2 linked regions of the Styela clava genome follow. The protein of the gene in region 1 purifies or fractionates together with the protein of each later gene. This does not show direct contact. Links are inferred from orthologs where the notes say so. Each region holds a gene or a part of one and is shown on either strand. Other genes may lie near its edges.

Evidence for each region.
Region 2: the proteins of nephrocystin-1-like (region 1) and nephrocystin-4-like purify together in Homo sapiens (co-immunoprecipitation; 6 studies listed by BioGRID and IntAct, with this or other methods). This does not show direct contact. The link is inferred for Styela clava from reciprocal best matches to the Homo sapiens genes NPHP1 and NPHP4.

What each region holds. Positions count from the first base shown.
Region 1 is NC_135251.1:26,439,121-26,456,405, reverse strand, and holds the start of nephrocystin-1-like, read right to left. Parts: upstream 9,206-17,285; 5' UTR 8,162-9,205; coding exon 8,096-8,161; intron 7,844-8,095; coding exon 7,700-7,843; intron 7,586-7,699; coding exon 7,517-7,585; intron 7,352-7,516; coding exon 7,290-7,351; intron 7,028-7,289; coding exon 6,932-7,027; intron 6,268-6,931; coding exon 6,121-6,267; intron 4,598-6,120; coding exon 4,473-4,597; intron 2,586-4,472; coding exon 2,534-2,585; intron 2,454-2,533; coding exon 2,411-2,453; intron 650-2,410; coding exon 464-649; intron 1-463. Other genes in the region: uncharacterized protein LOC120336336, read left to right, coding at 14,434-14,518, 15,201-15,646. UniProt on the Homo sapiens protein: Together with BCAR1 it may play a role in the control of epithelial cell polarity. Involved in the organization of apical junctions in kidney cells together with NPHP4 and RPGRIP1L/NPHP8. Does not seem to be strictly required for ciliogenesis.
Region 2 is NC_135256.1:22,124,745-22,140,992, forward strand, and holds the start of nephrocystin-4-like, read right to left. Parts: upstream 7,299-16,248; 5' UTR 7,271-7,298; coding exon 6,932-7,270; intron 6,126-6,931; coding exon 5,976-6,125; intron 5,433-5,975; coding exon 5,230-5,432; intron 4,805-5,229; coding exon 4,746-4,804; intron 4,447-4,745; coding exon 4,285-4,446; intron 3,509-4,284; coding exon 3,312-3,508; intron 2,986-3,311; coding exon 2,855-2,985; intron 2,022-2,854; coding exon 1,888-2,021; intron 1,514-1,887; coding exon 1,404-1,513; intron 920-1,403; coding exon 831-919; intron 8-830; coding exon 1-7. UniProt on the Homo sapiens protein: Involved in the organization of apical junctions; the function is proposed to implicate a NPHP1-4-8 module. Does not seem to be strictly required for ciliogenesis. Required for building functional cilia.

The sequences.
Region 1 (17,285 bases):
ATCCCACACAATACTTCTACCAAGTGAAATTTCGAAACTGAAATTTTATATATCTGTTCAGAGGAGACAGTAATAATATGTAAAATTTAGCTTACAGTTTTAACGTTCAAAAAAGCTGGATTACTCAGATTTTGAACAGCTATTCTAAGGCTACTTACATATAGTACATAAAGCTATTGCTTCTGTGGTATGCGAACCAAGATGGCGAACACCAGAACGTAGTATGTGTACCATGTTAGGGTTAGTTCTATTACGAGTTCGAGGACTAGCCAAGTGACTCCCCTGAAATTAGGGCCTAACTCTAACCTAGTACACATACTATGTTCCGGTGTCCACCATCTCGTTTCCCATACTACAGGAGTACCCATTATTGCACATCCTTCTTCCTCACAGTTATTTTCAAGTAGCAAATCATAAATTCATACCATAATACACAAAGTTCACAATTTGATTCAATGCATACTTGATTTAATGCAGGATCCCAATGCAGATCTTGAAGACCAGTGTTGGATTCAGTGAAGGATGGAAGCACAGCGTTCTTTAATGTATATTCATCTTGGGATACAAATCTCCCCAAAGTAGAAGGACGAAATCCAGCAGGAATCGCTCCCAACGCAGCCAAGACATCAGTAACATCCGTTTTAGCAGGCTGCAAAAATATACAGAAGTAATATTACTTAATGCTTATCTCCATTTTTCAAATATCTTTCATTTTACAGAACATTTAAATCAAAGTAAAAATTCTTAAAACAAAATAAGTGCCGGCAATCTTTAGATTGGTGTTTCTTAATCTGAGCCGGAGGATTTTTGAAATGGGCCTAGAGTTTTTATTTGGCCTGCAGTACCGGTTCTTTATACAAAATTCATTTTTTTTTTAAACTTTATTTAAAATATCTTACTATAATTGGTTAAATAATATTAAAATTTTTTCATCTCCGGTTAAACAAAGTCAGCCCGCATTACTAAATTTGACCTTATCATAGCATATCATTAGCTCCTGATTTAGAATTTCGTTTTAATAAAATTACTTTCACTCTCTGTAATCATACACAAATTAACAATACAAACGTTGTATTTTCCAAAGTCCAAAACATTATTCAATGTAATGAAGGTGAAATTTACACAGCAGTGACAAATAATTGAAACGGATAACATGCAAAAAAAAATCAAAGATATAGATACAAAATATTCTACACATATTCATCAATAACTCATATGTGCAGTGCAAAACGTCATGATCTCAACTCTTATTAAAAAGTGTTTTAAAAAGTGCATTGCTCTTTATTTAAACGAGTGATTTACTTACCAGGAATTATGAATTATGATGAGCAACATAGATGAAATTAAGAAGAAAGCACAGATTTAAATCCAATAAAAAAATACTGATTAATTATTAAAAACTTATTGAAGAATGGCACATGGATTCTCAAAAACAATCAGAATAGCAATTTGTAGGAACTTTGATGATATCAAAGGGTTTTGACCCAAAGAATGAAACTTGGAAAAATAAAGTTTTAGGAAATTGAAGAAAACTTTTTTTTCATCTTTAATCTCCTCTAATTTTTTATTGAAGTACTTTGATGAATATCTTTTCAAACTTTAGTTTGAAAACCAGTTTAAAAAGCATTTATTTGTAATTTTTCCGAATTTGACATTCACCATTTTGTTATAAAACACGTGATTTATCAAACAAGATAGAATAGCAAATGCAAGTTGAAATAGATTTGATGTTGAAATTCCAGATAACCAATTAACCGTACATATTCCCAAACTTGTAATTCAAGATTTAATTATAATATATTACATGGAAGATTATAATTTAAGTACCAGTATTTGAGAATTATCTTCACCCTCTATCATAATATTATTATCTGTTGACAGATTTATCCATTATCTGAAACGACACATCCCATTTAAATATCTATTTTACTTCATAACCAATTAAATATAAACAGATTTCAAAGAGAAATCATGAAACATGAGTAAATTACTCTATAAAATAATTATCATATTTAGTGCATAAAATTAGTGAATGCATCTTAGTATTTCTTAGTACAGTACTTTAAATTTCAAGTAATTCTAATCCATGTCTCATTAGACGAGGCAGCTAGCCTGATCATTTCAAAATAAAAGGAAAACTTCAATCTAGTTTTAATCAAAAAATATGGAAATCATCAGACTTCAAACAGGTATTAGGAACACATAGCCTACAAATTACAACACTTTTCAATCGAGCAATTTTTACTGAAATCAGCTATTCAGCATTTTTGATGATTAAGAGCTAGATAGACGAAGCAGCTACTAAATCAGAAGGTACAACACGAAAAGATTAGGTAATGTAATAAAACATGCAAAAGTTAATGTCATATATATATATATTGAATAAATATGAGTGATAATAGATATTTACCTCATTAACTGCATCTTTTATGCCTTTCCACAATGCTTTCCCACTGAAACGAAGAACAAATTGAAAGTCGCTAATTAGAAATCATTTGTAATGTTTCGCAGATGTACTTATGGTGCTAATTACCTTCTTGTTGGAGATTCACCTTCAGTTGGCGGTTGTGAAGCGGTTGCTTCTCCTGAAAACGTAAAGTTCATTTAGAATAGGCAAAAGTAAAATCACTCCGTTATAGAATGACAACAGTATTTCGCTTTTTATCGAGCTCATAACTAGCCGCTGATGCTGAAATCAAAATTCAAACGTGCATCCCAGGATTGCTAAATTATTAGAATAGGATAGGATTTTCATAATTATCCTGGGGGAGAGGGGAGCTGATAAGGCGGCTCAACCATACAACAAACCTCCCATCCAGCTACCAGACCATGTCGGGTATGGAAAAAGTATGCCACTTATTTGTTTCAGATGCGTGGACTTGATGGTGGAGGCAGTAATTCACCAGCAATCTTCTTGCACATAATTATCCTCCACACAATTCAAATCTATGAACCAGTGCAGGGTAATTAAGGATGCGATCGCAAGTGTATTTATAAGGCACAATGAGTCAAACTTCCCTCATTTTTTTTATTATTAAAAGACAATGCATTATAACCAGGGATGGCCAATTGGAATGTATTCGAATATCTCGTTATTCGAATATCGGAATTAGCGTTCATAAGAATATCGGATATTTGTGTGACGTCACACATTTTCGACGCCGCTTTCAAGACATTTCCGTTGAGTGAAAACATTCTCGATAGGAACTTGCGCGCGATTGCTTTATCAGCGGACGTGTTATTTAGGCCGTAAACGCCTTTACGTTTGTGTTATTTTCTCTAAAACGCAAATTTTCCACAAAGTTGTTCCACGATAACGATGACAATGATTTTATTTTTGTACTCGCACAGTATTGTGAATACGGAGAATACGTACATTGGCGGCGAGTTTTTAAAGAAAACACAAATTTTTTGATTGAAAACGGGCAATTTAAAATACTGAAAATAAAACTGTAAACAAAATATGTTTTATTGAAGCTCGCGACAGTTTAAAAAACGCTTTTCTAGGCAGTGAAAACCGCAAAATTCCCACATTATGTTTGGTCCGCGTTTAGAAACATATCATCACTAATTGAGTCACTAATCCATTACCTTAATTAAATTGCCGTCGAAAATTTTTGTGTTAACATCATACAAGGTCTGAAACGCAACTTTTACCGGGTTGTGAGAATATATATAATATAATTAATCTAAAGTATATTCAATCAATTTTTATTGTGCTGGAATAAATTTTACTCTGAGATTTTACGGCAGATTTATAATCGGGCAGTTCACCACACATTTTTATTTTTATGTCCGCGGATTGCTATGGCATATTAGAGTGGTGAGGATTTTATTTTGTCGACGCAACCGCAGGTTAAATTGAAACAACTAAATTAATAAGGCAAGACATTTGAAATATGCCCGTATCGGCACGAATTAATCACTTTGCACAACAGAAAAATATATATGCGTTGTTATATTATTAGAAGCAACCGCAAGTTACGTTGGACACATTAAATTAATATATAAAGCTATTTTAGAATCTCGTATTTATCATGGATTGAATAATATACGTGACGGGATGATCATTATACGCTGAAAAGACGGTTCTTTTAACGAGCACGGAATCCCGGTGGATGTTACAGACGGCAATGGGAATTTCTGATTTTGAAAATCCTGGCTGCACACCTGGCAGTGGTGGTTATCTATCCTCTAACTTATTGCTAATTTCAGACTTAACAATATGCTAAACATAATAACCACAAACTATCAATTACTTTGTATACATATACTGTTGGTTTGTGGCTTTACCCTGATATTTCTATTGAAGCTTATTTCCTATTTTACTTGGTTTTATAAACTAAAACAAAAATATGTTATTTTCGATTTTAGAATGTATTCGGAATTCCAGATTCGAAAACATTATTTTAGAATGTATTCGGAATAGTTCAGTATTCGGAAATGGCCATCCCTGAATAACAATATCTAACCTGTATCCTCCTGAAGCTGGCTCTCTTCTTCTTCATCATCATCATCTTCATATTCTTGGAGAAAATTTGATGGAACCATCCCAACATTACCATCTTCATCTTTCACTTTCCACCATCCATCATCCCTGAGAAAAGAACGAGACTTGTATTATGGGCACAAGTGGGCGCCCATAATTTGAAATAAGCTATTACAATTTCTTTTTATAACCCTGTTTGGCACGGGGTTGAATTGATCGAACACACAAATAAATCATATGGGCTATTCCAAGTGACACTACAGGACAATTCCAGAAATTTTGCATGTTTTTGGTTGCAATATATTTTCACATTTTCAGCCACATGTTTTGTTTCATTGTCCAATCAGTTGCTTTATTGAATATGTAAAAAATTGCACAAAAGTTACAACCAAGACTTGCTTAGTAGATAAAAAAAATATAGTAAAATATAGCGTGACACTACAGGACGGCAAATCCACCATGCACTAACAGTATAGTATGTTGTGTTGTGTTGTGTAAATTTATGCGATGGTACAGTAGAAGCCCATAATATTTTCTGGTGCAGTAGCTGAACTACCCCTCTATGTGTTGCTCAAGTTACTTAATGTAACACTATAAATCCATGCCAATAATGAGCATATTGTATGTGAAACTACAGGACATTTTTCCACTTCGGAATAGCGGCCTCTATCATCTCTTAAATTCTGGTAATAAATCTTAAATGGGTGAAGAAATTTTCTACAGCACTGCAAACATTTAAACTTTATTAACTTAAATCCAGTGCGTCAATTCCAAATGAAATAACTGTACCTGCACAGAAATCATCACAAAATATGTCAATTATACCAAAATTTCTACATTTCAGGCCATGTTTTATAAACCATCAAAAACCTGGGTGAAATTTTAAATTGTTCGATGAAATGAATGCAGTCCAATAAAATTCCAATGTCTTTTGATATCAAAAATTAAAAAAAATTACTTTCACTACACTTTTAAAAAAATTGATGGAATTCAACTTTGGCTTGGAATGGCCCATATATTACATTACTTTGAATGGAAAACTTCGACTGAAAATTTGATAATTTTGTCAATCTGAAGCAAAATCAAATTTAGCCAAAATCTTTAGTGGAGATATCCAAAATAAATTGATTATTCGAATACCAGTACATTCGACCCTGGATAGAAATGATATTAGATCATCACTGATTGCTACGCACATTCATGGGCTAATAACCGCAAAATAATTGCCACAATGATAAAACAATAACCTACCAGCAAAGATCAATTCGTTCAACTTGGAATCAAAATAGAGTAGTAAATGAGAGTTTGGCAGTTGACTAGTAAAATTACTTAGGATCTGATAGATTTGATAAGTGTAGACGTAGCCTACTAATTTAGTTTTTAGGGATAAAGAACTGCTGTAGCAAATCCTTTCTGGTGCAAAGTATGATTAGACACGGGTCAAACTGGCATGGATATATTTTGTTCATCACATTTCTACCTATTTAAATAATTATTATTGTTTAGATACCTGTTTTGTTTATATTTTGGGTATATCGGACTGAGTGAGAACGAACTATAATAATTACCATTTTTTCTTACATCCCAGATCTCTAGCGATCCTATTGTTATTTTACTTATGTTTTACTTACTGCCTATACACAAGTGATACAACATCCCCTTCTTCTATAGTTAGATCGCCTTCTTGTTCTCCTTTAAAATTATTAAGAACTTCATATAGTTCATCTCCATTTTCATCATCTTCATATTCTTCTTCCTCATCATCTTCTTCCTCCGTTCTATAGCAGGAACAAGAAATGAAAGAAATCGTTATTAAAAACAAAGCAACTTTTAATTTATTCAAAATAATCAAAGCAAATCTGAGTGCCCTTACTGCAAGCCGGTAGGCGGCCAGGCTGGATATTCCTACTCCTGGGAAATCTGTAATGGCACATACAGTAACTGGGTTACCATAACTGCCAGTTTATTTTGAACCCTGCATGTCTTGTCAGGATCCTGTGTGAGTAGTATACTGTGACAATTGATAAAATTCCTAAATATTCCACAGTTTATGAAATATCAAGATGAAATAGGGCTCGTTCTTACATTTTTGCATGGAGGATAGCAATCTTCGAATTTCAATTTTCAACTTAGTTTAGGATAAAAATGCGACAAATAGAGAGTAAATTGGAAATTTTCCAACAATTAACATTTTTACGGTGCTGCCATGAAACCGAACATCTTATGCAATTATGCAACATACACAATTAACTTTTTTCTGAATTGTTAAAATTGGACTTGAAACATTTAAAAAAAAAATAGATTCAAATATTTGTTGAAGTTGAAGGAAAAATTAGAGTGTGGGAATCACATTTTCAGCATTGTATTCTAGCAGACCAGATAATTAAACTACTATTTATACACAAATTATGTTAATGAAAGAATAAAAATGAAAACACTTACTCATCTCCATCTTCAACTTCTTCCTCATCATGAGTGACTCGATTCTGAGGGTGAGAAGATTGAGCGATTGGTTGTTCTTGGCTGTGGCGGAGAGACCTAGGATTCAAATGCGTTTATTATTCATAGATTCGAACCCCTCAATGCATTGCTCGCAAGAGTAAAATTTTTGTGTCATATTTTTCATGTTTCCTTGCTGATATAAATTAATTGAACATTGGGCTTGGAAAGCAAGGGAACATTAGAATCAGACAATACAAAATTCCTACGTAGCGCAATAAAATTTTGGGAGGCAAATACCCCAGGTCTAGTACAGGGTTACACAAGCACTTAGCTTCTCATGTGCCAAAGACAGACAAACCTTAAATGTTCAACTTCACTAGAAGATGATTCAACTTCGTCCATCAATGTATTCAATCGAGCCTGAAAAAAAAAGAAATAAATTTAGTCAATCAGTTCCAATTAACAATCCTGAAAATCTAACAGTAATATTTAATGAAACTAATAGTTTTCTAAAGGCCTTGCCAGAAAATAATATCACAATTCTAAATATGAATGGATTATTATTGGGTTCTTGCTCAGACAAACCTGTAATTGTTGTATCCTTTTTATCTCTTCATTCTTCTTTACATCAAAATTTTGAACTTTTTCATCGAGCTGTAAATGAGAAATAGAAAACTTTTTTGTACTAAAACTGGATTTAAACATATATTTTCGATATTATGCAATTCACGAGTCCTGCTTTTGTTACTTATGTTACAAGTATGCTACCTTTTTCAAATCATGGGCTCTCAATAATAAGGCAGAAGATCTCATTTTCATATCAATGCATGATTTATAATCTTTATTCAATGATTCCACATTGCTCGATGCATCTTTGATATATTCTCTAATGCTTTTCTCGGCAGCATCAATCTGCAATGAAAAAAATATTCCAATCAAACATGAATTCTACTTGGCCAGCTTAAAGTTCAAAATATTTATCATATAAGTCAATATATAAATGTTGATGATTTTGAACACAATAAAAAATATTCCAGAGTATGAATTTTTTTAAATTGCATGCAGGCATAAGAAGGTTAGACTAATTCTATATAATTTGCCAATGTTGAAACGGTAACAAAAAGCTTAGCATTAATAAAACAACTAGAACAATTGTGAATTTACCTCTTTTTTCAATTGATCCACCTCAATTTGTAACTGATGCAGTGGACCTTTCGCCTTTAAAGACATTTTGAATCAAAACCTAAATGACCTCTGCAAACAGTGTATGCACAAATGTCATAATACAGTAATAAAATCGAGAAACAAAATTGTTACACCAAGAAGACCAGTAGAACAATAATAGCATTGATCAAGCTTGTCCAAACTAAAAGCATCCTTATCAAGCAGCTGGCTATAAACCGAACAATGTGTCAATAACAAAATGCCATTTCATTGGTTGTGATGCATGTACAACTGTATAAATTACTAATATAATGAAGTTGTTAAACCTTTTCTCGCCACAGATCATCAAAAGCATGGCAACTTACAGACTTACGAACTTGAAATGAAGAATGCAAGAAATTTATATTATTTAGTTTTAATTTTAACATTTTTTTTCAACATATATTGATATATAAAATTTATAGTTTGAGTAATATAACATAATTTTATACAAGTAAACAGTGCATTTCAGTAATGGATTAACTGTAGGCTATTGAAAGGAAAAGAATACAATCATTACGAAATGAAAATTGAATTTTTAATTGTTTTTAAACTCGGTACGGTATTCTATTACAACATTATCAGCATATATACAGATATAGTTTATTGATTAATTTAATGTTGATTTTACCCAATAACTCAGCGCATCGGTGATAATGCAAACAAAACGGAAGATATTAGCATCAAATTATTAACCGATAATATTATTTTGATTTCTTGATCAATACAAAATAAAACCCTTAACACCAGATTATTCAGTCATTGCACAGCCAGACATCTGCCTATGGCTCTAATAACAGCTTCTGATCCCAGTACTGAGTGATACCAAAGTAGGACAATAACAGAATGATGAATATCTAACTTATATTAAAAACAAATTGAATGTGTGTCAATGCAGCAATATGTACAAATTTATGATATAATTGTCTATAATTTTACTCTTATAATCCAGTAATCACAAGTCTGTGTGCTTGTGTGTCATGTCAGTACAGCAGTACTGCAATAAGTCAAATGCAGGAATGGATAACACTGTAACATGTCGTTGAATGTTTGTTTGTAATTTTCTTTAATGAACCATCATCCGCAAAAGACTTGCCGTTAGTTTTTCAATTCTCTTTACATCTTGTGAATGTTCTGTTTCATACTGCAATCTGACCTGATCATCAGTGACCGTCAACACCAATTTACCATCACAATGTCTATATTTAATATTGTATCTTACATTATAAGGATCGCTCTGATAAAGTCTTTCAGCAGCTTTTGAAAATTCTTCCCAAGATTCAATTTTAGTCATAATACTGGATAAAATTTGAGAAAATGAGAGCAAGTGCGCACACAAACATCCGAACGTAGACAATGCCAAAACAAATGATGAAAATTGCAGTAAAAACAAATGCCATATAGCCTTGGTGTGGAGAGAGACAAAATCATTATTTATTTTTTTCACTTTGAATTCAAAACGATATGAATCTCCATGCTTTCAAAATTGGAAAATGTTGAAATCAAGAATAATTTTAATAATAGATCATATTAAAATAAAGTTTACAACTGTAATAAATAAAGATAACTTATTTATTCATATTTTATCATGTATGACTCCTCACACCCCATAACGTCTCGTATACTGTAGTTGACTGTAGTTGTTACAGCGATTTCAAACTTGTCCAGTTCAGTGGTATGGACCTTTCCCCGACCTTTGACCCCCAGAAAATTTCTTCCTATACTTAACCATGTCAAAAATTTGAAGCTTATTTTAAGAGTGGTTTTTTGAGTTGGCGTCTGTAAAATGGGGCATATGTTTCAAATCATTATTACGATTCATCGCATACAACAATCTGTTTTTTAAAACTACCGGTAAAGAATTTCAGCCTAGTCCATCAGAGCTATTTCTACACTAAATTTTTATTACTGCGATCAAATTAAAACTCCTAGGAAGACAGGGTGATCATTGAGTTATCTGATATATATTCAAATTTCCGAAACACAATTGAAAAGTAACGAATAGAGTTCAAAAACGCGAAAACGAGGTAATGTTTACGACCACGCCTGAGAATCTGTCTGAGTGAGAAAAGTGTCTGAGCGGGTGCGAAAAGGGAGCATTGTTACGTCACTTTTTGCACCTTGCTGATTGGCCAATGTCACAAAGTGAACAAGAAAGTCGATGCTCGGAGAAAGGTCCTACTATGAAACAATCGATAAAAAGACGGTTTTATCTTATGGCGAACCACGGCCCCTCGTCTGTTAATCAGTCCACGTAGGGCAGGGATCGGCAACCCCTTGCAAATTTTCCATGGCACGCCAAGTGAATTGGGGCGCACACACACGTATGCTTCCAATACTTGGCATTTTTGTTAACTTTATCCGAAGTTTAAGAGAAAGCCTGAAAAGGTATGCAATTAACCGGGGCAACTTAGTATTACATAATGAAAAGTTGAATATTATGCCATAGTTAAATTAGTGAAATTATGTTACGTGAATATGTTATACATTTGTAATATCAATTGATATGCTTGCCTTGGATTTTATTTTTATGAAATCAATGAAAGATTTGAACTTGAAGCGAAGTTTATTCATAGTCCCCATCGCAACCGACTTACGGAAGATGTGTTCGGAAGCATGTGTTCAAATGAAAGAGTTCAAATATAGTTCCGATATTACAGAGTTGAGCAAGGAAAAGCAGGAACAAGGTTCTCATTAAAAGCAAGTCTTGTGATTGTACTGGACGTTATCTAATAAAATTTATAAAATAAATTTATCTTCCCTCCGCTTACTATTCAAATCGGTAATCGGGACCGTACATTTGAACCCACGTACATACGAATCCATACATTTGCACCCGTATATCCGCGGGTTCAATCTATATGAAGGTGCTAAAATCCATGGGTTAGGGTTAGTATGGGTTCAAATATCCGTAAAAAAAATCTCCATAGGTGCAAAAGTATGCAGGTGCGATTGACGTGGGTTCGTTCAAATGTACGTGAGTTCAAATGTAATAGAACCATTCAAATCAGGTAGCTGACTATGCAAACCAAACAAATAGAAATGTTCAGTTACCCAGGTATTTTTAAATTTGTTTTTAGATGCACAAACTTGATTATGGAGGAAGCCGTAACCGGCCAGCGGTTACGTGAACCATCCTACGGCGGCGAGGAGTCCAGCAATCCTCTCGCACATACTTAACCCGGCATGAGATTCGAACCGGCGAAACCCCGCAGAAGTACGGTGGTGAGCGTATTCCTATATCGCTTAGTTAGCACGATGCGCCATACCGCCGAGTTCATTACATTTCCTGATCGACGAAGTCCATGTATATAATGCAGTGTTTCCCAACCCGAGTCCGCGGTCTCAAATGAGTCCGCAGAGCGTTTGAATGAGTCCACAACGAGCCAGAAATTCAATGCAGGCCGCAAAAGTTTTTGCGAAACCTAATTAACTATCAGCCAAGTTACGATTTACGTTAGAATTACATAAAACATGAGAAGCCAGTTTATTCAAATAACATTAATCAAGTCAATAATTACCGGTTATTGAGTAGGGCTGGGCATATAATCGCATATTCAACTATTAGAATAGCAATTTACTATACGAGAATTTGGTAACACGTGACGCGACAGGTCACTTGCGAGTCGCTTTATCAAAAGATTGGATTTCACAACTCTCTTGCGGATCTTCGACGAAAACAAGAGTCTGTAAACGCTTCGATAAATACGTAATGAGTGTTTCTCACGAGTTCGAACAACGAGGAATAATTTGTTTTTTTTCTGGTAGGTGTAAATGGTGGCAACGCAAATTTTCTAAATTGAAAAGTGGTCCGCGACCGATTATTAACGCTTTTTTAGACATTGCAAATCGCAAAATTTAATCAAAAAATTAATCGGGCACTTTACCACGCATTTTGGTGTCCACGGATCGTCATGGTATTTTCTGAGTAGTATTGCTCTTATTTAGTCAACACAACCACAGATTAAAAGGATCACACATATGGATTGAATATGTTATGCAACAGAAAAAATCATTGAAAAGTCGGCTCTTTTAACGAGTGACTAGGGCTGGGCATTTTCGAATACCTGATGATTTCAGAATCGAATCAAATATTTTTTTCGAATCGAATCTCGAATACTTGGGAGATATAAAATTGTATTCGACTTTCTTATTGTATTAGATCCTCCAGACACATAGCTCACTACAGAAAATAGTCATATGTCAGAATTGCGTTGAAAAAATATGGCTTCAATAAAAAAAATTGAGGAATTTACCTCGACCATCCGCGAAAAGATAAAAAAAAACAAGATGGCGGCGATTCGAAATTTTTCCCTGAACCGATTCGAATAATTTACTATTCGATTTGAAATGCCCAGCCCTACGAATGACGTATACGCGACGATTCCTTCAGAAGTTTTTCGCGAGAATTTTAAGGCGATGAATATGTATTTTTGATTTACTAATATATATACTTTAAATATATTTTTTATAAATACTAAATTAGGTTGTACATTCTGAAAATTTATAGCAGATTGTAGGATTTTTTCTAACGGCGATACCAAATTCGCAAGATCGATAAAAATATGTATCAAAGCCGAATTTAATCGGGCAATATATTCTCTCATTATTATGTTCGAAGACGACCGCGGAATTTCAAAGAGATGATGCTTACATCTTGTCGTAAGTCGACGCAAGTCACGCAATCGCGAGTTACCATGAACACAATTAAATTAAAATATAAAAGACAATTCTCGTCGTTGTCGTGGATTGAATATTGTGTGACAGAAAAGTCCATTATACACAAAAAAGTTTTTTAACAAACGCGTAATTGCGGCGAATTTCCGATTTTGAAATTCATTGAATTTCTGTTGTGTTTGGCTTTATTGCTTCTTCACACAGAGTATGGTTGCAATAAACGCACCTTGAGTCCGCAAAGGTTTTCGCGGATGAGAAAATAGTCTGCGACCAAAAAAGGTTAGGAAACGCTGATCTAATGAGATGAAATATTGGTACATGATGTATCTGAAGTGTCAAATGTCAAATGTTCAACAGTTACACAACATTCGACTGACAACTGAACGAGAGGACTCGGTTCACCATATATTTAGGTATTTTTATCTGCTTATCAACTCTTGTTGGGATGGCGCTTGTCATTGGTCGCAGTTCACCATACTATTGAGCCGTGTTGTAGCTTGTTACTTATCGATTTTAATCGGTAAGTATGTTGATATTTGTCTGTATTCATCATATCTCGTACCATAAGCCTATTGATTTTGGGCGAATTCTGTCGTAGTATTTATTCGCTTGGCGAAAAATGAAAATATAGCGAAATTTCGGATCTCCTAGGATTCATAAAAAATTTAGAAATAAATAAAAGTAATACCGTTCTAGCGAAATATACAATCTTTAACCACTACATATTTTAAAGCAATTGATCTATTAATGAATAAGAAAAGCGATTTTTTTCATAACAACAAGAAGAAAAATACCAACAAGATCAAGAACAACATAATAGCGAGACAATCCATAAGTGAATTTCGTGTCCAATGTATAAATTAAATAACATTTTCCTGACAGTCGTTGTTTCTAACCTTACTTTATTACCTCAAATTGGCATTATTACACATAAATCGTTTAAAGTAATAAGACGTTATCTATAATAAATTTCAGATCTTTTAGTCTCATAAAAACAAAGTAGCCTGTAGGTCGCTGCTATGACCTGTGGGTATCGATGGTTGCTTTCCAGTTCAACAGAGACGCAATGGTCAGAAAACTTTAAGATGAAACATTCTTGGTTTGAACGACAGTAATACCATTTTGTTTTTCTCCTAGTATATAGGCGGAATCCCCCATTATTATAGACCGAGTGACACATTTTCCGGAGTACAGAGAACGATAATGATGAGTGGAAATACCATTTTGGTGATTAGGAATTTCTTCTAAACCAAGTACTCTACCAGAAATTCTAATCTAACTCTTTGCCATACGATAGGAAAACATCAGGTGTTTTTTCCCCTTTTAGTCGTTCACTGTATTGGTAGGCTACTCACTTGCAAAATTCCATCATTGCTTGACTCATTTTTTTCTTCGTATGACAATAGCAAGGTGTATTTACTCATATCCTTTTAAGGACCTCTCGAATGACGAAGATCGTGAAGCTAAGTTTCTTATGATTTATTGCTCATCGTCGACCTATTTGGGTAATTGCAATGCTGCAAGAATAAGTTGCGGATAGCATATAAAAGTAAACAATGGAAAGGCGGACAATCAGTCAATATTAAACCAAGAACGTTCGCTATACCTGAAAAGAAGATTTAATGTGTGTCATGATGAACCAAAGAAGAAAATTAACCATGATATTTTTGGTTTATGCATTTGGTCTGCCGTTTAGCACTGTCCAAGGTAGGCTTATATGTTGCTTTTTTGTTAACTTTCAAACGATAAATAGTGATATTTGAATAGATTAAATATGAGCATATATATTAGTAAGTCAAATACGATAGTTAATGATTTTGCACGTTTGATATTTCTCACGCTAAATAATTTTTTAAAAAATCTTTCTCAAAGTTCAGGCGCACTCATTCATAAGATACTTTGCTATTTTGATAGATAATAAAAGTCATATATCTTGGAAACAGCTAATATTTTTGTTTAAAGAAAAAAAAGAAAAAAACAAATGTAATTTACTGCATTTCAATGCTCAATATCGTTCAATTTACAGTGCAGTTTGATTATTTATAGCATATCCCTGAAAATTGGTAGTCGGCTATTGAACTGACTTCCAATATGACTCGTTGTTTATGGTGGTATCAATTAACATTCGAACTAAATTACTTTATTTTTTATTATTAGTTGTGCGCCATTTTGATTTAGCCATTGTTACTTTTGATGAAACTGAAACCATTTCATGTTGAACAAGGCTATACATATATTCGTTGACATTCATGACATGTGAGAAGCATTTAATTGCGTTCGAAACTTTACTTGATCTGAAGAGATTTTTCACCAATGATGACTTGGCGCTCCGAATTTCGACTAGAACTAAATAGTAAGGGAATAACATTTCACTGTATTATTTTTGTAGGTAGTTGCAGCGAATGTCCACCATTGTCCAGTTGCATCAATGATGTGTGTAAATGTAGAAAAAACTTCGTTTGGAAAAATCCTTTGAGGAAGTTGGAATGCGTTTACAGAAGAAAACCAAAACCCCGCTCATTTGGAGACGGGTTGCCACCTTCGAAAACAACCACACCACGAATGATATCAATGACAAGTTCTGGAGAGAAATCGTTTGCTATGACAAAAGTCAACACCACACCCGGAAATACAACATTTATCAGCGTCTCAACAAAATCTCATTCAACTACAAATCATAATAAATCCAAAACGTTAGGATTTTGCATTCCACCTTCACCTCTGTGTATAGGAATAATTTTACTTATTCTAATTGCCGTTGCGATTTTGGTGGTTATTGGTGTAATATGCTACTGTAAGAAAAAGATGAAATCAACTTTTCAAGCTTTGCCTTAAACAAATATCATCCGAGCATAATCGGCATTCAGCCTCGACCTTCTGACCACAAGCCTATCAAAAATTACTATTTTTATTGGAAAGTTTAGTTTCTTTTGTGTCATTATAGTCAATTTTTTATTGTAGTAGCAATGAATGATGCTGCTATTTTTCATTATAATCATTAAAGTGAAAGTATTTATTTTGGCAAAAAATAGTCTTGTTTTCTTGTAGTTTTTCCCTTGCATGAGAAAGTTAGTGGGCCACAGAATTTTCATGCAACGAAAGTGGACAACGAAAGAAAAAAGGTTGAGAACCACTGGTATAGGTGAATAAATCTGTACCAACCATATACAAACAAAATTTTAGAAAAGACTATGACAATTGTGTACAGTATTAACAAGGTCAATTTTAATTTGTGACCATATATTCTTCCCGTATTTTTTATTAAATAATTTGTTAAAATTTCTTCATTCTAGTGTTTTTTAATAAAAATTTAAAATGTTGTTTTTTAACTTTAATGGTACAATACTGAATTCAATAGGCGAGGTTTTAGAAGGTTGTGCTATTTTACGCTATATGAGAATTTTTGGTGCTCCTGAAGTATGCGCACCAAGATGTCGAATAACCTGAACCCCAACCTGTACACAATCAGAGTTCAGGTTGTGCGTCATCTTGGTGCGCATACTTCAGGAGGTCCGAATTTTTATTCTTATATCAGCGACACAACGCTGCAAGACATATAATACCAAATATCATCGATGCTAGCTAAGTAAGTAGGTTACTTTGTTCACAAAATATATGCAAATCCAAATTTAAACTTATCTGATAAATATTTATATATCATCAAGATTCAAACGACCAAGAGCATATTTCAGGTATTCTGATGTCCACGCATAAGTCTAGTAACGTGAGTAAAGTGCTTTTAGACCGTAGGCACAAAGTTTGAACTTGTAGGTTGCTGGATGCTTCTCACCTTTTTAGTCTTTTAGAGCAGTGGTTCCCAACCTTTCTACCCTGGCGGACCGATAAAATTTAATTAAACGTACTCGCGAACCGGCAAAAATTGAAATGACAGGAACAGAAAAGGATAACACATATTTGCGTAATCTAATGCAATGTCGGGCACTCAATATGCTTCTAGGCAACAAAGGCACACTTAGAAACATTTCACACGATGAAAAACTATCAAATAATGTGCCGGCCAAAAATTGAAATGGGCGAAACGTAAAATAAGACCATATATTTGCGCAATGAAATGCAGTGCTGGGCACCCAATATGCCGAAGAAAGGCACACATAAAGCATCTCACATAAAAAAAACATGTACATGCCAAATCATGTATAAACACAATTAACTCTAGTGAGAATTTCGCTGCTGTTTCGTTTCCAATATAGGATTGCAAACGAGGTCTCAAAGAAGTTTCTGCAACACGTAACTCTGCAGCGGCGTGCAGCCGATTTCTCTGCTTCGTTTTAATTAAAGCCAGTGATGAGAATATTTTTTGCATAATGCATAAGTAACTGGTTGAAAATGCGGTCAACAGTTTGATTGCTCGATTACTTAGTGATGTGTATTTGTTATCAAGATATTGTGACAGTGTTTCTTATATTACTTCATATCTTACTGGAATATTATACTGTTCTTGACTGTTTTTTTG
Region 2 (16,248 bases), on another chromosome or scaffold:
TCTAAACCTGAAAAAAGAAATCTGGGTTAATAATGCAATTTTCTTACATGTTGATTAAAAGTATACAGAGGAGATAATTTTCACCTATATCTATTTTTTTTAATGAGATTTAGATGAGTTTTCTACACCTTCATTTTAAATAAAACTTCACATGTTAACTTGTGTGTTCTCATTTACATTTTGTCCAGGTGATTGTCTTCCAGGGATAACTGTGCTTTGATTCTATTTCCCACTCTTTAACTGACCGATGGTCAGCAGGATGCAATGGCATTGTGGGTAAAACCACTGAAGCATGCTTCCTGGGTAAAAAGACTGTCCTGCTGGTCTCCAGAGTCATTCAATACTTTGGTAAAACAGAGGCGACATGTGTCTTATGTCTGACTTTATATTTTGTTATTTGTGGTGATAACTGAACTGCTTATAAGTATCGCTTGTGTTCAATAAAACAATAATTTACACCAGTCTGTGGTCCTCTTTCATAGACTCAGTATTGAAAGCTCCCGGCTCTTCTATGAAATTCCTAATTGTAATTCTAACGAGTTTTCATCAGGTATTTTATGGGCCATGCCACAAGTCTACAAACAGACGCAAAGAAAATAAATGCATTACAGTCAGGTAAATGAACAAATAAAGATTATTATTATTACATTCATAGTCCATGGCCCCTAGGAGAGCCAAGGGCCCAGTTTCAAAACTCTGCTTCAAAAAGCCACTGAAATGAAAAGATCCATTATATTTGGCTGGGGGGACGGATAGATATGGACAGATAACTAGCAACACCAATGTAGTAAAGGTCTCTCAAAGTTTCGAACCATTTGAAACAACATTACCTCAGTTTCCCCATCTCTGCGTTTTGTTGATCGGTCAAAATATTACTTGTATAAAACAAAACATTGTCCGGATTCTTTTCCATTCCTCCCTAGAAGAAATAAATAAAAAATGCCGCAATTAATACGAGTAAACAGGGTGTCCATGAAGTCCCTTCACAATTTCAATTTTGTTATGAAGTTAGTTCTTAACATATCTTAACCGGGTTTGTTGTTTTTTAATCAGTAATTTTTTTTAAGTATTTTTACTTCTTCAATACAAAAGTGCCAACGATGAATGGTATCGATAAACTCCCTTTGCAATTGCCAAAAAATTTTAAGACTTTATGGACAACCTATATTACCTCTGATTAAAGATATCAATCAAGAATATGGGTTAGTGTCAACTGTCAATAGCAAATAAACCATTCATTGCATTGAATTTTGCAGTTTGTGCGAAGAGTGCTTCAAAGGTATAGGTATCGGATGTTGCATACTACATCAAAAAATAATAAGAAATCCAAGCTTAATAGCTTGAGCCAAAGTAGGTATTTGGTTGAAATATTAAATTTCAAAAGTGAGAAATAAAATGTTCACCTGTAATGTCAATGTTATAAAATTATCTGTAGACTGTTGGGCGAATGGGCACCAAGCTGTCCATCTGACTGACATTGAAAGAGGCTGAGAACGTATCGATCCTGCTGATCCTATAGTAAAGAAATAAAAGTTTCACTTCTGAGCCGATTTCACACTTCACTTTGAACAAGGATGTATACAACAACCACCAACAAGAAAATTGTTTCCTCCTAGTTCAGTATTAACTTTAAAAAAAAAACTTGAGAATTTTAAATTTTTAACCCGTGATTCTTGCATAGTTAGGTCCAATTCTCTGACAATTGAAACATTGCGTTGCAATATAATGTTTAATCCATATAACTCAAATTAAATTCTCTCAAATCAAATTACATCAAATTTGTTGGCAGTCGAATTGAAGCCAAGACTTGAGGATCAACTCTAACAGCATAGTCAAGTTATCGAATTAATCTTATCTTATTACAACATATTTTTGTTATAAAATTACCTTTAACAACAGCTTGTGAAGTATAAGGAAGAGCGAATAAATATTCAATTTGCATAACTACCGCAAGTCCAGGATCCACTACCATCTCATCTAATTGTACTCGACTTCGAAGTACTAGACATGTTGATTCAGTGCTGAAAGAAATATTATTAGAATGATTCAGGCTGTCAAGGCATGTCCTAATTCAGCTAGTATAAAAGTCTGTATATTGGCCAATACAATATTCCAGATCAGTCAACTATTGAAATATCAATTTCACAACAAGTCTAGTCACACGACACTCCTTTATTACCTAGAATCAAAGTCCAGGTCAGTAAATTTCCTCTTACAAGGACTAAAATAGTTGAACTATACAGGTTATTTACACATTTTATAAGTTTCTGATTTCAACCAACTTGACACTAATGCCCTTCATTTCATTTAACGATGTTTTCAAATTGTAATCTCCAAACATAAAATAATTATTTATCAAAGCGTTTGCTAATTTTGACAGTGCTGTAGACACAAGTAATTTAAAAAACAAGAATTGCCTTACGTATTTTTGAGGTTTTATACAAGTGAAGATATAACTTATTATAACATAAAATATGTGGTTCGCTCCAAATCGATGTGATTCGCTCCAAATACGGCCCCAAACAAGCAGCCACTGCACAGCCATCTAATCATATGTAAGAAGCTACTTTTTAACTGGAAGGACTGGACTCTTTCCAGTTCAGCACAGCATACCCAATTCATTGCAGCCTGGGTAAGGTGGGGGGGAAGGGATTTGAACCTGAGATGTGTAACCTGCAATGCCAACACAGTTAAGCCCTAATTTAACCCTAATTTTTGACTAACCGCCGGATCATCACACCCGCCAACGTGATAACATATAACCAATGTTTTAATTTGTCAAATTATTAAGGGCCTGATCGAACCTTTCCTCCTTGACTATATACTTACTATAAACCTTTTTTCGAATACTCACCTGGCGACATTGCTGGTATCTTTTCGTTTTCCTCGTCCAAAACTTCCCAACCTTGCACCCATAATTGCTTCAGGTTCTAGTTGAGCAAATTGAGGTTTTTGAATATAACAGTATCCATTATGTACACCAACCTGAAAAAAAAAAATAGAACGATATTTGAAACTTATATGTCTAAGCAATCTTGGGAATTGTATATTTTTTTGAACAGAAACATCTTCATAAAATTGGAATTCCATAATGCAAGTGGTGATAGAGCAGTGGTTCCCAAAGTTGATTGACCAGGGGCCGAAATTAAAAGAAGTGGAAGGATATATGCAAGCCAGAAGAAAGAAGCGCCCACAATGGGGCTGAAACCGATACCGGTGCATATATTCAAGATGCCGATATAATTAACTTGTTATGAATATACACCTGCTTAAACTGTGATTAAAGTATAGGATACAATTTACGAATTTACCATTAATCTCCTTTCAGTGATTGTGACAGTTTTTCCATCATCTTCAGCTTTGTCCTTTTTCAAACGATCTTGATTTATTCTCGAACAAAGTTGTGATTCGAACTTATCAACGGACATTGATCCAAAATTTAATGCAAGTGTGTCAAGATAGCATGTTTGATGAGGAAGACATTTTGGTTTCAGATAATGATCTGGTGCTAAAGTAAATTGGAAAGAAATAAATTTTTAACAAATTTAAAAACTCAAGATTTTGCGAAACAGAGAAATTTTTCTAATGAGAAAGCAAAATTGTAGCAATATGATCACTGATATGTTAGCTGGGCAAAGTTGATGTTTTATCATAAGCTGCCTAGCTTCCCAAACTAATAGGCCTATATGTAAAAATTATCAAAATTTATTTGTTTTGGTTCATGCCCTATGGTTCCATTTTAAACATTTTGTATTATTATGAATCCCATATTTTTTCATTCCACACGCGCAGTGGAAAAGTGGATTAGCTTTGGTATCCGAATCTTCAGCAAATAAACATCAAAACTCTTCTAGAAAAGCTGTTCTACTGAACCTTTATTAATACAATGCTTTCATCACTTTACTCAAAAAGGTCTTCATACAAGAAACCACTGTATTGCCTAATTATGGATTTCTGGGCTCATCACTATTGTAGGGTGGTTACATTACAGCTTTCTCCATCATCAAGTCCCTGCATCTGAAAATAAACTTCCTAACTAATCCCATACCCAACGTTCGTCATATGATTAAGCTATTTTATCGGCTTTCCTCTTCCCCCGAAATAAATATGTAAAACCTATTCTAATCAATTCAATACAACCTGAGTGAGGTGATGGGCATGACGCTCAAACCCATGATGACGACATAGTTAGCTATGATGCTTCAACTACTATCCCTGATGACTAAAAGCATCTAAAAGTGGTAATCATGAGATTGCTTTGAACAAAACATTTTGTGAATGTACCTGTGCCAGATTTGGAAAAAGCTTCTGCCATTCCAGGAAGACATTTATACGATGAAAACAAAACATTATCAGGCATTAAATGCATCACTGATTGAAGATTTTTATGTTTTTGTATAGTGTATGATAGTTGACATCCTGTAATCAGTTGGATATGTTCGTTTGCTAAAATGAAAGTAACAATTTTATCGATAAGGCATGATTGATTAGAATTGTTTTATAATCGATAATAAAAGAACACAGAGTCTCTAAATTCAGACATAATTCAAAATTGTTAGATGTAGGAAATATAGAAAGTTTTTATAGTTTTTTGTCTGTTTTATAAAAAAATGAAATTATTTCATATTTAGGTCATCTTGGAATCAATTTATTGCAGTCAAAAGCAAAAAATAACTTTGGTTCTAAAACCAGATAATTAATAACAATTATGTAGAACCAGAGAAAAATAAAATTAAAAAACATACTTTCAATGTGATCACCCATAAACAGTAATGCCCTCGGCGTTCCTTGATAGACATCCATTCTAAAAATAAGATTTTGTTTAATAATAAAAACTCATTCCCGAATAGGTGTTTAACAGATCAGGTAAACAGTTTATTAACATCATACTTCCAAAGTCTGTCATTCGTACAACAGGAATTCCCATCAGTCCTATCAAACAAGACCATTTTCAAGATAATCACCACTTGAAATCATAATATTGGTTGGCTCTTCCGCTTTCATTAAATTGCCATGTTTAAAAAAAAATGGTATTTATACTATTTAATAGCTATATCTGTTAAATGGTAAGAACAGTATAAACCAGTGGTGAGCAAGGTTTTGGACCAAGAGCCAAAATTTTTGCCCCTTATCAGGCGGTCCAGATTAAGTTACCCCTGGGCCGGATTTGGCCAGCGAGCCGTAGTTCGCCCATGTCATGTATGTACCCTCAGAACAATTTCATCATACTTTCTAACTGTAGGTGCCATCTGATCAGCGATGTCCTTCAATTGAAGTTCAGGTTTAAAAGGTCGTAAGATTCCCCATCCCAATGTTCGTTTTGTTGTAACAGATTCATCTCCAGGTAAAGGATTCTTCGGACCTCTATGCACAACAACTTCAACAACTAATATTACATTTGGATCAGTGACCGGTGAGTGAAAATATACAACCTGAAGAAAATTATAAATTTAAGCTATCAAATTCGGATAAACCAATAATATCAATAACCAATATCAGAGGCCTGATCACCATTATGAAATAAGTTTTGATTACTTGAGTATCGGTTTGGGTGAACATTCAATTTTTAATTTTTTCAGATAGATTTACTTCATAACATCACTCGTCTATTGCAAATTCTATATTACTTACAATTTCCAAATTTAGAAATGGATAAATAATTTCACTACATTTATTTTAAATCTTGGCTATGAACTGGTTCAGTCAGTCTATTGCATGATCTAGTTCTACCAGTTAATGTACCAGTATTTTTATATAAAATCATATATTTTTTTCCCAATGATTAGAAGCGATTAGTGTCACACAAATGTTTTATTTCAAATATACAGAACTCAAATATTGATAAGCAAAGACAAAAGTTCACATATTTCTGACAAATGTCCTGTTATACAAACTCATTCTTAAGTAATGAATTATATGGAAATAATGTTTCCAAAAGTGTTTGTGTGTCATCAAATAAAAATATAAAAACAGACCTTGTTTATATTTAATTCTGAACGTTGAATTGCTTCGTCTGTTGGAGAAATAGTTTTACTTTTCCAAGTTTCTCCAAGAAATTGTTGATATACCACATCATACAAACTGAGCCGGATTTCATATTGCGAGCTGTAAACTTCAGGTGCATTCTGAAATAAGAAAGTACTTCTACGATCTGCTGAACGCAATCCAAAAACAGGTGGAATGGTCGTCTCTCGCCACGAAAAATTAGAGAAACCAGTGTGTTGAAGCAATAACCGAGTATAGCCTTTATATACTCGGCTCGACGTCAACCTACGCTATGTGCCTACGTAGGTTCGAACGCTACCAGGAATGTAGCCATGTGCCAGTGGATTGCTGGACTCGCTGTCGTCAAAGGATGCAGTTGGATTTGGCATCAACCTTGGTCATGCTCATGCATATGTATCATTGCAAAATAATTAACCAAATCCCGATATTCTGGGCATCATGGATAATCACGAATGCTACTCTATGAAAAGATATTGCTTTTACAGCATCATCATGAACTACAAACAACTTATTCAAATACAATAATACAATAGTTGTAAAATGTAAATAGACCAATAACATTTTTGTCTCATCACTCATTAGTCACAACCCTACGTAGGTTCACTAGTACAAAGCCTGCAGGTGAAAATTCTGTGAAATAAAATTGCTGCATTCCTCGCCATTGCAGGACTGGTCCATTACCGTCCATATGACTGCTGCTACATTACAGACATTTCCAAAACAAAAGTTAGCTTCTTACAATGTACTACAAGTCTATAATATTACAAATTTTCAAGAAATAAAATAATGTCATGCAACCTAATTCATATATTTTAATATACCGGTATATTATATTATATATATTATTATATCTTGGAATGATAAAAAAATAAAAATGAATAAGTTTCATTACAAGAACACATTTCTTATCTAGTAATTAATTTACCTCTTTGTCATTTATAAATTTTGTTAAAATATACAAATTAATTCCGAAGCCAACATTTTTTCGTTTTTCATGCGATTCTTGTATTTTCAAATTCCAAAATCCACCCGTAGTTAATTGTCGTTTTTTATATGGGGAACGTACAATAGTTCGAAAATTTGAGAAATGTTTAATATCAGTTTCATAATTTTTCTTTAGCAGTTTATGAGCTGTACCATCCATTGTGTAAAATTGCTGAGAAATTGCATAAGATTCAAATACATCTTGTGAAGGAAGTCTAAATGATACTGTTCTCCGACGAAGATCAGTTTTACCAGTTTTTTTGGAAGAATCTGGTTCCATAATGTATCCAAAAATTATGATTATCGGAATATATTCACATTTGAATACCGTAATTAATTATTCAATCTATTTATTAGTATTCCACAACCTATCTCATTGAAATATAAATTGAGCAAAGTTTTTAAAGTTGAACATTATAATAATAATATATTCCATACACACTACCCTATGACAAGATAAATCTGTGATAAGAGCACTCAACTGTTTTAATTTCCGACTATCTGAATAACTTTCAACAGCTTCACTATTAAAGTCTCATATAGGCTACATGTTATATGGATTGTCTCTTCGCTGCCTAAACTCCGGGAAGTCGGAAAACTATATTCAATCTTAATAAACTATAGTCACACGCCTGATCATATCAATTATTCTTGTTCCGTTTGTAGTCAAAATTTCAGGGGTACATTCACAATAACCACTTTAACCTAAAAACTAGCAGATAACAAACAATACAGTACCAATAACTCTGTGGTTAGCAGGCTATATTTTATGCTTCACTAAATCTCAAGCATGGTTAAACGTAACAACATTTTCCACAAGTGTACTTTAGATGCAAAAACAAGCGAAATCAAAACCGTTGCCTGGTGTCCTTAATAAATATATCGCTATCATAAAATGACCATAAAATTTTAACAGCTCGCCTCCTTCTCAAATAAAAACTTGAGATCTTTGGTCTTAATAGGTAATAATAGTCCATTTCACTTTTTGATAATAAATTTGAAGTCCATTTGTTTTGTAGTATTTGTACCGAAAATTTAGCTTATCAAAGTCTATCATGAAGCAAGCATGGGGCAAGGATGAAGCATATATGATAGCGTGGTGTATCCATCTACCATGTTTGAGAAATGCCATTATAAACCGATCTTTGTTGAATTCGAACCATTGTTCTGGACTACAACAAACCCACACTATAAATACATCAGAAGTGTATTTGCTAAGTGGTTGTTCAAGACATTGATAGCCCGATAACGCGGTTAAGTAAACCATTTTTGGAACCTGGTATATTTGATTTATTAATTACCTAAAAAGGCGTTACTGACCTCAAACCTAGATATTGATCTAAGAGTATTTAAGAATTTAAATACTAATTAAAGATAACAAAGTTATGATCCAAAAATATAAAAGACCATGGAACTCTGATGTCACATTATTAGTTTTTTTTTTGCAAAGTGCAATAAAATAAAATTCATATTAAGACAAATTTATCCAGATTGGCTTTAACTTGCTAGCAATCTCACACAGCATTTTAAAATTTCAGAAATCTTGAATGTCCAGATATCCATTTATAAGATTTAATTCATTTAATTTAAATAGTGGCAAGTTAATATGTAACCTACTAAACCTATAAAACTAATGATAATGCTTGGTATTTAATAGCTTTGATATCCTGTGTTTTATGTCAGAGATATAATACTAGTACGTACGTCGGTACGTGATATATCAATATTTCTCATCCAAGGGCGTGACTACAAACTTGTCAAAGTAAATATGGAAGTATAATAGCCTACTCAAAATTTAATGAAAAAAATTTTCCACAGATTTTCTCAATATTTAATTGAGAATAACTCCAATAATAATCAACAATAACTTCAAAATTTAGTTTTTCAAATATTTACATTGCAAAAAAATTGGAAAAAAACATCTTCATCATTGTCCAATTTCAATAGCCTATTTTATTTTATTCTTCACTAACAAATTTTCCAGCATAGATAAAATAAATCTCAAATTGACAAGTTCCTTAGAAACAGAACATTAGTAAACACATCCTAAATATACCTCAATATTTAGCATTGAATATGAATATAGAAAAAGACTTTAAAACTGAAAATCCACTATTTCGGTGAGCCATTGCTAATCATGCCTAAAATCTTGGAACCTTCATATCCAGCTAAAAGATTATTGCATTTTCTGTTGCTTTCTCATTACAAAATCTAATTTTGTTCGTCATAAAAACTTGTAATATTGTTTATATAGTAATCAAATCCTTCGACAACCCAAACACCTCAAATCCTAACTGGTTTAAGGAAACCAATTTTTGAAATTAAAGTAAGGCAAACACATGTTCACTCCTGTGCTCTGTACCAAAATATTGACCACACTAACTCCCTTCCAGTGACATAGCATCAGTTGATTAATCTAGGATTAAATACCAACATTCAACAATGTGCTTATGAAAAGGATTACATTGCTTTATTAATGATCCTATGCATTACATTGTGAAATCACCTACAATATCAAATTTACCGGTATATTACTTTGGCATGAATGAATAAGAGTGGTGGATATTTGAAAAAAATTGCTACAGATTGAACATGAAGTTTGATGGGTATGGAATATAAAATAAATTTTGAATATTGTGATTGGTAATTTTAGACTAGAAGAAAGTCTTATACTACCGTAAATGAATTAAAGTGATTGGTAGCCAACCCAATTTGAAGAATTAATATATATATATATAACCTGGTAACCATGATTTAAATACCACTGGCCAAAACCAAATAATTTACAAATCTATCTGAATCTGAATCTAGAATAATATTTTTAAATATTCTAAATTGGGTCAAATTTAATAACAAAGAAGTCGATTTAAATTCAATGGGTTTTGTACTTGAAATATATGAAAGGTAAAATGTGATTGCTTCCTTATTCTTGTTTATAATTTAGTATTTGATTAGATTTAGACATCCTTGTATTACATATATTGATGAAAGCAAAATATGGATTAATGAGCAATGATGATTCAAAATAAGTGAAGAGTATATGAACCAAGTTTAGTTTAGCACAGGGGTGTGCAACCTGTGTGCAAATGCGGTCTTCGAGGGAAAAATTGTGTGGCCCGCGGAGAAGTGCCAATTTTGAATATGTACGAGCCACCTAACAACGTTTAAATTTAATTTGGTACGCGCGAGTGATTCCAATCCCTAGCCTATACCCAAGTCGAATTTTTTATCTATGACTTTACAATGCCTTAACAGCTTGCTTATGCAAACAACGCATGTGACATGATCAATAACCAAATTTTTGTGCTTGCAACTACTAGATAGCCTATGTTAAATACAGGTGCAGCCCATGGTTTCACCCAGTTATTTCTATCTAGCCCTCCAATAATAAAGGTTGCACAACTCTGGTTCAAACGGATTATTAACAACATTAAACGTAGAAAGATATGAGATATGAAAGATTACAAGATAAAAGAAAAGATTACAAGAAAAAACAGAGAAACTATGCTCTGCTGTATAATCACGAAATGAGCTCACCAATGATCGATATCCAGTTATCGATTGAATCTTTACTTGATAACCCGTAGAAGGTGTCACAGCTGTTCTATCATTATGTGGTTCAACATCATTAAATTCTTTCATCACAGAATGCCATGATGGCATAACTTTCTTAACCATCTTCTGACAAATATCACTTTAAAAAACAAAGGAAACGATTTAACGATGTTTAATTAGCAACTTATAGAGAAGACATATACAGTGATACCACGGAAGCATAATTCGTTCAGGATTGGTGTACGACTACTGATTTGTTCAAGTACTGAGTAACTTTTTTGCCATAGGAAACAATGGTAATTATAATAATTCGCTCTCACGCATTACAAAATACCAAAAGCATTAACAAAATGTGTACCTAAACAACGATAATTATTTGAATGTGTACATAATACAGTAATACAGATTACGGAACATAATTAAGATAAAAATATGAAACATTTATGGTCGGCGCAGATGCCATTTCGTCCGATAGTAGCTATACTTGGCAAGCTCTATATGGCGTGATTGTGACATCGTAGACTCGTAGTGACATAATTTTTGAATTACATAGTCAGGTGGGGGTTAGGTATAACATATACAAAATTCGTTATGCTTCACCCACCGGAAGTGCATGTGGTACCAAACTATACCAGGCCCCAGTTACAGTACGTTTGAGCAAATTCAGAAATTTCTGTAGCTCTATAAGATTCGTTTTCTGTGTGCGTTGACGTCATTAAAAATTGCGCAACTTGCAGACTTGTGACGGTTCCGCTTTCGCGGTAGTTGTGAGGATTGCTGTATTCAGGTATTGGCAGTATACCAGTAGACTATACCGTGATAGATTGCATACCCACACTAATTCGTTTTGGCCTTCGTGTCTATGTATTTGAGCATCGCTATTTCTGTATTTGAAATCATTTGGTCAACTACAAGTTTTTGAATAAAGAGTCGTTCAAATGCGGAGGTATCACTGTAATTGAAATAATCAATACCGGTATTCCATACCGTAGTCCAGTAGTCAGGCACCTACACCCAGCCAATGGTATAATTATGCACTTTGCTAAAATTAGCGACTGTTTTCGTCGGTATCTAGACGGTAAACGCCTTTACGTTGGTGTTTATTCTCTCTACATCACAAATTTGTTATTGTACCCCCCAACTGACTATGTTATCCAAAAATTACGTCATGGAAACCAACGCCACCATATCGCGTTCAATCTTATATCGGAAAGCAGGATATTTTTTGTTTTTGTGCCAAATAAATTCCAATGCCAAACGGAATTTTCGTATTAATATTTTAGTATCAAATCATTTTATTATAAATAGATAGTTTTTAGTTTCCATGTTTTTGTTTATCGTTTTTTAATTTAATCCCATTCCCCCCAATAGTCTACATAATATGAATAGTAAAAATCAAAATAAAGAAAGCAGGAGAAGTTACCTTTAATTTAATCCCATTCCCCCCAATACATATGAATAGTGAAAATCAAAATAAGGAAAGCAGGAGAAGTTACCTTTAATTTAATTTAATCCCATTCCCCCCAACATATGAATAGTGAAAATCAAAATAAGAAAAGCAGGATAAGTTACCTTTAAACAGCGCTCCGTCTGTGCCTTGAGAGGATTTGCGTAAAAACTTACAAAGACTTCGTTCTGAATTCAGATTTCTGGATATTCCCAAACTTTGTCGTCGATGAGATTTAGTTATTCATCATAGGCTATAGGCTACAAGCATAGCCTACATTACAGAGTTTTTTCATCATTTTGTTTGTTTTTGTTTTGATTGTCGTAACTGTAATGTACGCATGAATGGCAATGTATTTTGTCGAACTTTGACCCTCATAATATAAGAATTTGTTGATTCAAATTAAAATGTTGACATGTTTTTACTAACAAAAAATAAATGAAAAAAAACTTAAAAATTCCATTTTGTTTTGAACTGTGGATATTCAAGCGCCTTCAATTGAAAAATAATGATAACTAATGTTATCCAACGCTTAGGTATTTATGCCTATTTGTGAGAAGAATCCTAGACTCCTCAATTTAAAAAAATACTTCACCCGACTGGAAGACGTTCACAGACTCGAATACTCAATAATATACAGAAAGTTAAAATGGAGAATTCTGCAGGGCAAGCAATACTTCTCAACAAGTTTAAAACATGGGAAATATCATGTGCCCGCCCACCTGCACAAACAGAAAAATAAATTACAAAAAACACAAACCTAGTTAAAACAAGGTTTGGGCCAGAAATAAGCAAACAAAACATAGTCGAATGTATAGGAACTTCCAGGCTGTTATACTTTTGAAACGCTTAAGCTGTTGCAATAATAATGACCATTTCATTGTGAATCGTATATAGCATTGGTTCTCAAACTGGGGTCCGCGGACGCTTAGGGTCGGCAAAGCGATTTCAGGGGGACCGCAGGACAATTTTGATTGATTTAAAGTAAAATTTGTGTTTCTCCAAAGCACGACACCGTCTACCGAACACATTATTACGTAATAAACGTGGCAACGTCAGTGAATCAGAGCGTATTGTTTATGAAGGCGTGTGCTTCTAATTGTAAATTTTCTCGGGGTAATTTAAAAAATGCCTCCCCCGTCACAAAAGGTAAATTTAGATATAACAATTAAGATGTCAAATTTAGTTTTGCTGTGATAAGGTCTGGAGAAGAAGAAAAACCATAGTGGCACCGTTCTATCCCGATGTCGCTAAGATGGCACAAAAGATGCTCATTCCATTTGCAACAACTTACGGATGTGAGGCAGCTTTCTCTACATTACACGCTATTAAAACAAAATGTAGGAACATAATGAACGTGAGACACAATATAAAGGTTGCATTGCCCGAAACAGAAACCAAGGCCAAGGTAAAAGAACTAGTGGGAGCCAAGCAGGGACACCCATCTCATTGAACTGTTTTATTGATATATCGCGTTGCTATTTGCTTTAGTTTTTTTCGTGAACCGCTAGTCATCAGAAAAATTGAAAGGGGGCCGTTATGCACATTTTTACCGCGCACATATACCAAGTTGCTATTTGCTTTAGTTTCTTTAGTGAACCGCTAGTCATCAGAAAAATTGAAAGTGGGCCGTTATGCACATTTTTTCAAAAAGTTCGAGAACCACTGGTATATAAGATAAGATAGGATTTACATAATCACCCCGGGGGAGAGAAAAGCCAATAGGACGGCTAAATCATATGGCGATTTTCCAGTTTCCGCCATAATCCTTTCCGCCCTCTTTTGGACGAATGGGCCAAAAATTATATTTTTGTTGAAAAAAGATCGCATGTACATTGATTTGTGAATATACCTTTAATACTGATTACTGAATACAGGTGTCGGTGGATTACAGGTGTCGCTGCTCGATAACCGACTTTGGATTTTCGCGTCACCTTTCACCATGAAATGTCATTTTCAACTTTTTTTAAGTTTATGTCCAGTGTGAGTGCACTTTCATTTCGGTGAAATATAAACTACTGACTGAATGAATACGGTTCGGCGATGTGGCGCATTGTGCTAAGCGTTAGGAATACGCTCGCCACCGCATCCCTGATTACCCTTCGTCGAATCCCATGCGGGGATGGTCATGTGCGTGAGGATTGCTTGACTCCTCGCCGCCGTATGGCGTAGGATGGTTTACGTAACCGCTGGTCGGTTACGGCTTCCTCTACCACCAAATCCATGCTTCCGAAAACAAATACCTTGCTAACTAACCCCATACCTGGACTCTGGACTGGTAACCGGACGAGAGACCGTGGTTTGTCATATGATTAAGCCGTCTTATCGGATTTCCTCTCTCCCGGGATAAATATGTAAATCCTATCCTATCCTGGTGAAAAATTCTGTTCACAAGTGAAAACATTTAGGTATAGTCACCTACTTTTCTGATTGACAAATCGCTATAAACACCACTCTCTCTCCGTGTGGGTGTGTCGAGGGCTGGTGTTCATTGGAGAACAAAACGTGTGTATCAGTGTTCAAAAATATGAAAAAACAGCACGCAACAACAAGTGTTCGGTATTCGAATACCGTATGCTATGCCGCTTCCGAATAAATAAGCCATAATTGTTGCTGTGCTTTATCCGTCATATTCAGATTCAAATACCATACAGGTACGGGTACGGTAACGGTACTTGTTGTTGCTGCACTGTTTTTTTAAACACTGATACCGGGATGTCATCTGATCATGTAGAGTGGGAGTGGTGACTCCTCTGCGGCCCATGGGCCGGGGCCACGGCCCATCGAATTGGGCTTCGGCCCATCTAGTTGTGTAAAGAAACTATTCCCTTGGCTAACACAGACAGTCCCCGAAATCATAATAGAACTATAATGTAAAAAATCTGAATTTTTTTTGTCCTAACCCTAACCTGGCACACATACTACAGGAGTATATATTTTTTTGGTTCGAATATTGACAATTTGGTAAAATTTGAAAATTTTGTCAAAATAATTGAATTTTTCCTGATGGGGCCACGGCCCATCAAGCTATGGGCCACGGCCCATGTGGCCCGATTAGACGGGCCGTGGCCCCGGCCCATGGGCCGTAGAGGAGTCACCGCTCCTGTAGATCATGTATGTGATCGTGTATACTATGTGACGATAAGGGTACGGTAAGGAACCAACTGACCTAAGGATAGGATTCAAGAGCAACTATTGATGTTGCCTTCAATTTTCACTGTCCATGTTGCTGATGGTCTGGCAGTTGTGTACTTTCTACGTTTCTATGACTATAACTAGGCTAACCATATTTCTGAAGCAAAAAAAAAGGGACGACGCGGATTGGACAAGCCAACCTCGGTTCGATTCCAGAGGCTTAGTAATAGTTTAAACGTTTCCAATACCATTGTGGATAGATTGGGTCTAGTATAGTTTAGTACCACAAGTACTTCCAGTGGGCGTACCATAACGATTTTTGCATATGTTATTCCTAACCCTCACCTGACTATTCCATCCAAAAATTACGTCATTACGACGTCACCATAGGGGTTGCCAAAGTATAATTACGATCGCCCGAAATGGCATCTGCGCCGCCGATAAGAACTTGCTAAAGCCGGCGATCTCTCTCCTATTGTGATCGTTGCGACTAGAAAACGAGAGAAATAGCTTGCTCGATTTCGGGTTATCGTCTGCGTGTTTTGGACGACCATCCGCATACTTCGGTGGGCCTTATTACGCCACTGTGACGTCAGAATGACGTAATTTTTCGGTGACGTAGTCAGGTGGGGGTTAGGATTGACATATGCAAAAATTGTTGAGCCAGGCCAACTAGAAGTGGATGTGGTACTAAACTATACCAGACCTGATAGATTATTAAGGGTATCAAAATGAGCTGTTAATCCTGTCAAAATATCCTCTATTGCTGTATTGGCCTGCACTTTGTTCAAATATTGGAAATTGTTCAGCTCCTTATAAAACTTGTACTTTGTTTCGGCATTTCGATGATTCAACGACAGCATGGTAGGGTATTAAATTAAGGCATGGTTCATACTTCATATCATAATTATGACATAACAATTTTACTCCCTATCTGAACTAGTGAAGTGAGACGTAAATCAGCTGCATCTGTTAAAAAAATATTTTGTAATAATATCAAATAGAAAAATTATTTATGACTGCCATACTGAAAACCGGGGCATTAGAGTCTATCGCCGAGACGGCGGAAAAATATGATATAACCGGGACTGTCCTGGCTAAACCAGGACGTACAGTAAGCC